Nothobranchius furzeri: one gene and its partner. The protein of the gene in region 1 purifies or fractionates together with the protein of each later gene. This does not show direct contact. Links are inferred from orthologs where the notes say so. Each region holds a gene or a part of one and is shown on either strand. Other genes may lie near its edges. The genes, in order: mapk4; FAST kinase domain-containing protein 5, mitochondrial.

Region 1 (3,818 bases):
AGGAATGTACAACACTGCCTTGACGATCGCACCACGGAGGAGTTTTTCTTTCCGGAGTGTCCTCCACCAAAGACACTTCTATACTCTGCTTCTTTGCCTGACCAGAATAACAATGATGATTGAGAAACACACCCTGTCGGAAGGAAATATATTTCTAACTGACAAGCTGGTTTCATCCTACACCAACCCTCTCCCTTCAGAGCTGACATCAGAAACTCAAAAGGGTCATCTTCTCCCCGTCATTCCTGCTTGAGAGCCTTTCACACATCAGGTGTCTGGAATGCTTTACTCACCTCTCGCTTAGCAAACAAGGGATGGAGGGCAACACACCCCATTTTTTTGTATACCGGAGGGAAAACACTGCACTTAACAGCAGAATACAAGGCTTGCTCTTCTCTCAGAATGAGCAACGTGTGGATATAGCACCCCCTGCTGTTTGTCCTGAACACAATGATGAAAATAGAAATCCACACTGTGTGTGTGCTGCTGTCAGCTGGAAACATCCATAATCCATAATCTCTCACGTCAAAAACATTAAATTAGCTAAAAGGGCTCAAATACACAACAGCTGATTTCTTCCAGTGTGCAGAGTGGCTTAAAGTTGGTTTAAAATGGTTTGTTGGAACTAGTTATAGAGACAAGTCTAGTTAAATTAAAAAAGATTATTAATTTCTTATGATATTTAATAATCTCTCACCAATTATGTGTACATTTAGGAGCAGTAAACCCAAGAGACTTGCAGCCTGCCTGGACCCTTTTAATTAAATCTTCTAACTTTGGTTTTTCTATCTCCTGACAGCTCTCTCAGCCCCCAGTTATCCTTGTTTGACTTCATTTCTTTCCTTATGTAACTGATTCTCTGTCTCCTCTCGCTGCTTGCCTCTGATTGGACGTCTCTGTCCCCCAGGAGCCCACGAGCTGGAGCAGATGCAGCTGATTCTCGACACAGTGCCGGTGCTGAGAGAGGAGGACAGGCAGGATCTGATGCAGGTGACACCTTGGCTGCAGGACGGATATCTGCAATCTGATATTGACAGATGTTGTCTGTCAGCAGAAAGTAGGCAGCAGTTATAAAATGTGGCTGATGTGCACAGAAAACATTTACAGCATGACTTCTGACTCAGTTGAAATCTGCTTTATCGCAGTTTAATTCTGCAAATGCAAATAAATAAATAATAATTCAACATTATACAAATAGGAAAAGAATTTAAAATTGCTATTGGATTAGTTGTTTTTTTAGCAAAGAGACAGAAATCAAACCAATCTTACTTTCTAAAGTAAAATATAAATTAGAAAATAAATAAATAAAGACCTGTGTATAATTTCTTTCCTCCATGTTTTTTCTAGGTGATGCCTTCATATGTCAGTAATGGGTGGAAAGTCAGGAAACCCTTTTCTGAGCTGCTGCCTGAAGTGGATGCTCAGAGTGAGTGCTGGCAGTAAAAAAGGGGTTGTTGTGTAAAAAGAAACAGAAACCAGATAAATAAATAAAAATACAGTTTTTCAATGACCGATGAAAAAACAAGTTAGGAATTTTAAAAGGAACTCGCTTCACTAAGCTCTACTTATCTGCTTCCCAGCTGTGGATTTTCTGGAACGCATTTTGACCTTTAACCCCATGGATCGTCTGACAGCTGAAGAGGCCCTGTCCTACCCGTTCCTCCAGCAGTACTCCTGTCCCGAGGACGAGCCCACCTCATCACATCCCTTCCGCATTGAGGACGAGCTGGACGGCCTCATTACAGATCAAAGTCTGAGTAACAGTCAGACCTCCAGCTTTTACTGGGAAAGGTGCTGATCCAGCTTTTCAAAATGTTTTTATCATTATTATTATTGTTAGTAGTAGTAGTATTTAATTATTTGTTTTTGTAGCTGAAATTTAGTGAGTCCATAAAAAATCTGGACAATTTGTTTGATTTTCCACCAAAGAAACAACTTTTTTTTTTCTTCAATGCTATCCAAAAGCCATGAACCACACCTTATTTATTTATTTTAACTTTCAAAAAGCCAGTTGGTCTTCCGTTTTGAAAGTTGAGCAGTAGATTTCCATAAAGAGCAAGTCAACCCCTACCGCAGTCAAGCCTGGGGCACACCAGAGGCGGACACAAGTCCCGCGTGATGTTGTGACTATCGCACAATTTTCCAAGACGCGCTCAGCGTAACAGCGCATCCTGTGTTTCCACTGGACTTCTCAAAATCTCGGGCGCAGCGCATTCCCCTCTGCCTCTGGTGTGCCCCAGGCTTTACTTCGCTCCCCACTTCCTGTTTGAAAAATGCAGAAAGCCGCAGTTTGGCCATAACAAACACCATGTTCGAACATAAGGATGCCCATCGGTACACTTGGTACCAGGGCAGCCTAGGTTGCAGGTCGATGATAGACTTTGTAGTTGTATCATCTGACCTGCGGCCGTATGTTTTGGACACCCGGGTGAAAAGAGGAGCGGAGCTGTCAACTGATCACCACCTGGTGGTGAGTTGGATCAGATGGCAGGGGAAGATGCTGCGTAGACCTGGCAGACCCAAATGCATAGTGAGGGTCTGCTGGGGACACCTGGCAGAAGAACCTGTCAAGACGGTCTTCAACTCTCACCTCCGGCAGAGCTTTGACCACGTCCCGAGAGCAGTGGGGGACATTGACTCCGAGTGGGCCTTGTTCCACTCTGCGATTGTTGAGGTGGCTGTTGCTAGCTGTGGTCGCAAGGTGGCCGGTGCCAGTCGTGGGGGCAACCCCCGTAACCGCTGGTGGACACAAGAGGTTCAGGGAGTCAGGCTGAAGAAGGAGGCCTACAGGGCGTGGCTGGTCTGTGGGTCTCTGGAGGCAGCAGACAGGTACCGGATAGCCAAGTGGGGTGCAGCAGTGGCAGTTGCCTAGGCAAAATCTCGGGCGTGGGAGGAGTTTGGTGAGGCCATGGAGAAAGACTATCGATCGGCTCAAAAGAGGTTCTGGCAAACTGTCCGGCGCCTCAGGAGAGGAAGGCAGCAACTCGCTCACACTGTTTACAGTGGGGATGGGGAGCTGCTGACGTCAACTGAGGCTATAGTCGGACGGTGTAAGGAATACTTTGAGGAGCTCCTCAATCCCACCTATGCGCATTCCGAGGAGGAACCAGAGCCGGGAGACCTGGAGATGGAATGTCCAATCTCTGGGGCAGACGTTGCTGAGGTAGTCAAACAACTACACAGCGGCGGAGCCCCGGGGGCGGATGAGGTTCGTCCTGGGTATCTCAAGGCTATGGAAGTTGTAGGGCTGTCGTGGCTGACACGTCTCTGCAACATTGCGTGGTCATCTGGGGCAGTTCCTGTGGAGTGGCAGACCGGGGTGGTGGTCTCCGTCTTTAAGAAGGGTGACCTGAGGGTGTGTTCCAACTATAGGGGATCACACTCCTCAGCCTCCCTGGAAAGGTCTACGCCAAGGTACTGGAGAGGAGGGTCTGATCGATAGTTGAATCTCAGATTGAGGAGGGTAGGGTTAGGGTTAGCGTCCTGGCCGTGGAACTGTGGACCAGCTCTATACCCTTGCAAGGGTGATGGAGGGGGCATGGGAGTTTGCCCAACCAATCCACATGTGTTTTGTGGATTTGGAGAAGGCTTATGACCGTGTCCCCAGGGCACCCTGTGGGGGACGCTCCAGGAGTATGGGGTGGGTGGCTTTCTGTTAAGGGCCATTCAGTCCCTTTACCAGAGGAGCGTGAGTTTGGTCCACATAGCTGGTAGTAACTTGGACCTGTTCCCAGTGAGGGTTGGACTCCGACAGGGCTGCCCTTTGTCACCGGTTCTGTTCATTATCTTTATGGACAGAATTTCTAGGCGCAGCCGTG
Region 2 (4,255 bases), on another chromosome or scaffold:
ATTCTACAATAATTCCTTCATAACATGTATACAATTTTCAAAAAAATTAAAGATGATTTTTTATTAGATAGTTCTGTATGATAATATATTACACATAGAATGCATGAATACGTTAAAAAATATGAACAATAAAAGCAACTTGTGTTTTGATCCGAATTTTACGTAATATAACTGCATAGGGAAGTGTCGCCAAACGTGAGGAAAATTAAATGTAATCTCTACAAAGCTCCAGCAAAAATAGCTTTGAACACACATGCAGATTGTAATTTGTGAATAAAAATAAGTTAAATATCGGTGAGATGATTGGATGCAGCAGGCCTACATTAAGATGAATGCTTTTGAAAGTTGTGAGATGTTTGTTGAAAAACAATAATGGTTGCTTTCAGTACAATTTAATGCCATCCAACTTAAAATGTCCCAGTGGTGTGGGAAAATAATCACAACATTAATGTTTTCAAAGATCAAAGTTCATAATAGTTCATAAATGTATTGTCTGTTGTTTCAGATTTAATTTTGTTACAATAAAAAAGACTACTCATAGGTCAAAATTTATTGAATTTCAAACAGAAAAACAAGTACAATACAACAAATAATAATAGCTTGCCCTGGCACGTTATTACTCAGATGTAAAATAGTTTTATTGGATTATTTATTCTTCAAGGGTTTATCTATAATGGGTTGGATGAAGCACTTTTGGGATATGCCTGTTATCATAAAAAAAAAATCATGACAACATGCCTTAAGTGCTATACACGCTATGCATGAACAGAAATAATACAGAATACTGTACAAAAATCAAGAAAAAGAGTTAATGTTCTAATTAAGTTGTGAAACATATGCACAGTCATTAGAAAAATAAAAAAGTCACAAGTGACAAACATCAGCGTTTTCATATGAGCTCACTCAAAAAATAGTTTGACTTCAATCTCAATTTCTGCTGATACAAATTAAGAATAAACGGAAAACAAAAACATGCAGAATAACTTTTTTAATTTTTTTTAATTTTCACTTTGAAATATTTAGCAGAAATATATAACCCACGTGGTAATACAATAGTAATGCTTTGTTTAAACGTTTTGTGTGACATAGTGATAATTTTGTTATTTAGCAACATTATATCCAAGTGTGAAATTAGCATTTGAAATAAAGCAAATGTATATTGTTTCAGTTTAAAATTTAGGATATTTTGATAAAAGACGATTTTTGGAATGAAAAAAAAAGATAAATAAAAAATAAAAATTGTGTTTCGTTTTTGCTGTTTCTTGAACCAATGCGGCTGCCATAGATCAAACTATTGCCCCTTTACCCGGAAGTTATTTTTCTGCCACAATAATATATCGTTGACGCATTTCCATGTCCATCAACGTCATTCTACGTTGAATATTTTAGTTTTTTAAACATCTAGTATAAATAATGATCCAAAATAACAATTTTATATATTTTACTCTGTAAAGCGATTTACAGGCGTCTGGTTTGTTTTATTTTGAAAATAAAACCCTTGAGTTCCGGTGTGATTGGAAAAAGACCTCTCTCAACGGTTGAACCCTAAGAAATGGGTGGTTTCCACGAGGTTTCATGCCAAAAATTAAATAAAGGTGAGTTATATCAACACCACAGTAAAGTTAGAGTTTCTGCTTTAATGATCAACTCTGATGACGATGTTTGGTCCACGATAGCTTCAAACTAACGTCCAGTCATGCCGTGTTGTACGCTGCTCTTGTTTAAACACTAGGTCACTCTGCAATCAATATGCGCAGCTAAATTATTATTTTATATAATATACGTTATACAATTCTTATTAAACATCCCAAAATAAAGTTTGACAACAAATTAGTTGACGTAACCTTTGCCTCTCGTTTCAGTGCTAGCTCTCTGATGGCAGCCTGTGTGTTGTGTTGGAGGGCTGCAAGGCTTCGTTCCCTTCCAAACTGGAGAAAAAGTTTTACCAAGGCTCAACACATCAGATCAAAAGATGACATAACTGACCAGGAGGAGAAGGAAGTGTTGCATCACCAAGAAAGCTCTTTCCATGGAGGATACAGACTACATTACAACCCTTTACCGTATCATCGCTCTGCGTGGAACTCAAATTCTCGCCGCCAGACAGATAACGATGTCGAAGATGATCAGTGTTTAACTGCTAAGGCTCCTTCTTTGTGGCAACAAGGGAGTCACTACAGCGTGTGTACCTCACGGCACCTTTCAACCTCTAAAAACACTCTTCTGGAACTGGCTTTCAATAAAGTCCCTGAACCAGAGAGACCATCAGCGCTGCAACATCGCAACAAAAATCCAGAATCACCAGATGTTAAAGTAGACCCACGTGCCTTTCTAAAATGCAGACCTGAGTACGCCTCTGTCGCCCTCGATCTTACCAGTCGTCCTCATCCCGTTGAATGGGTCGATGTGTTGCCGTTACTCCAGAAAGTGTCAGTCTTAAAGGGCAAGATGAAGCCTATCGATGTCTCTGAGTTTTTCAAAGAGCTCAGCAAGTTGCACCCAGACAAACTGCCGCTGCTTAAAAGGGACCAACGCTTCATCATGCTTCTTCGGTATTCTGTGCAACACCTTCGCCACTTTTCTGTGCCCCAGCTGCTGGAGGTTTTGGAGTCATTTGTATGGCTGGAAATCCCTTCTTCTCACACCGTGCTGGGGGTATATGAGGCTGAGCTGTGTCGCCGGGCCAACCAGATGAGCTTACATCAGATGCTGTTAGCTGCTGACTTGTGGCGCTGCATCAGAAGGCAGATCCCACAGTTTTTACAGCGTCTTCATGACTCATTTAATCAACATCTGGGACAAGTAGGTGTCCCTGAGCTGGTCCAGATGATATATATAATAGGTGAAGGGAGGCACTGCCCAAAAGACTTGATCCGTTCTTTAGAGCAACTTCTGTTGCGCCATTTACATCATCTCCATCCTGAAGAGATTGGCACTGTATGTCTTGGGCTCTTTAAATCCCAAACATCAATTTCTGAGGGCGCACTGACTTGTATTGTCGACGGCGCGCTCTCGCTTGTGACTGAGATGAGTGACTTTGCGGTGGCGAACGTGATGAAATACCTGCGTTTCAGTTATCTTTTTCACAGGCCATGGCTGGAAGCAATGGCACAGGAAGTCCCTCGACGTGCCCACGGGATGGCTGTTCAAGGACTGATGCACTTGGCTTTGACTTGTTCAGCTCTTCATTACCGCAATGATAGCATCCTGACTGCCATCGCCGAGAGAATTCCCCCGCTCGTGCCGCATTGCAGGAGTAAAGACTCGTGCAAACTCCTGTGGGCCTTTGGCACCTTAGGCTTTCTCCCCAGTCAGAATCCAAGTTTTTATCCAAGCCTTACAGAAAGCCTGAGGCAGAGGAAAGCCGAATTCCAGCACTACCCAGAGCACCTGCTTACTGGCCTTCTAGGCTTGGCCTTTGTCTCACAGTTCCCGGAGGACCTGATTGCGTTAGCTTTAAGCCCAGACTTTGTCAGCTTAGCACTGAAATCCACCCATCTGGAGCTGAAAAAGGACCTGTTCACTTTAGATGGAGCTGTTGCTTTGGAGCTGCCTCGGTGGACTGGCCCACGATTAAGTCCGAAGTTTAGAGAAGAGGTGGCTGAAATGCTGTGGAAGTTCATGCAGTCGGCTATGTGCCAGAAGCCAGAAGTTCTGGAGGCAGAATCGGCTCTTCAGGATCTGCTTGGAGGGGAAAAGTTTGTATGTAAGAGGATGATCCTACCTCACACTCGCTCCATTGACCTTGAAGTGCATCTAGACTCCAGCGGACAGCCCATACCTGTGAACCCACCAGTCATAGAGCGACATAAATCAGTTAGTCCGTCTCATCCGAGCTGGGAAAAATTCAACTCTGGTGTGATTATTACTGATAAAATTTTAGCACAGTTAATAAATGGCAAAAACATCCCAGATTCTCCAGCATCTTCTCCCAGAGTTCAACCTGCTTCCCACCATAGTTTACCACCTGATGAAGATGGGAGACTGTTTGACTCAGTTCTGGATTTGTTCAGTGACTTCACAAAAACTCCAACCAAACCTAGAGGCCTGGAGTCCAAAGACCCCATCAAAGTGGCGGTTCAGATCTCTAGCAGGAACCACTACTGCTCCCAGTCACCGCAGTTACTGGGACTTCATGCCATGAAGAGAAGACAATTAAAAATGGCAGGTTACAGGGTCGTGGAGCTGAACCTTCAGGAGTGGATGCCACTGCTCAGGAAACGCAGAACGGAGAAGTTGGCATATCTGCACTGCA

Evidence for each region.
Region 2: the proteins of mapk4 (region 1) and FAST kinase domain-containing protein 5, mitochondrial purify together in Homo sapiens (affinity purification with mass spectrometry; 3 studies listed by BioGRID and IntAct, with this or other methods). This does not show direct contact. The link is inferred for Nothobranchius furzeri from reciprocal best matches to the Homo sapiens genes MAPK4 and FASTKD5.

The regions. Positions count from the first base shown.
Region 1 is NC_091757.1:50,261,199-50,265,016, forward strand, and holds part of mapk4 (mitogen-activated protein kinase 4), read left to right. Parts: intron 1-907; coding exon 908-990; intron 991-1,347; coding exon 1,348-1,426; intron 1,427-1,580; coding exon 1,581-1,791; intron 1,792-3,818. UniProt on the Homo sapiens protein: Atypical MAPK protein. Phosphorylates microtubule-associated protein 2 (MAP2) and MAPKAPK5.
Region 2 is NC_091754.1:22,726,910-22,731,164, forward strand, and holds the start of FAST kinase domain-containing protein 5, mitochondrial, read left to right. Parts: upstream 1-1,292; 5' UTR 1,293-1,595; intron 1,596-1,862; 5' UTR 1,863-1,875; coding exon 1,876-4,255. UniProt on the Homo sapiens protein: Plays an important role in the processing of non-canonical mitochondrial mRNA precursors.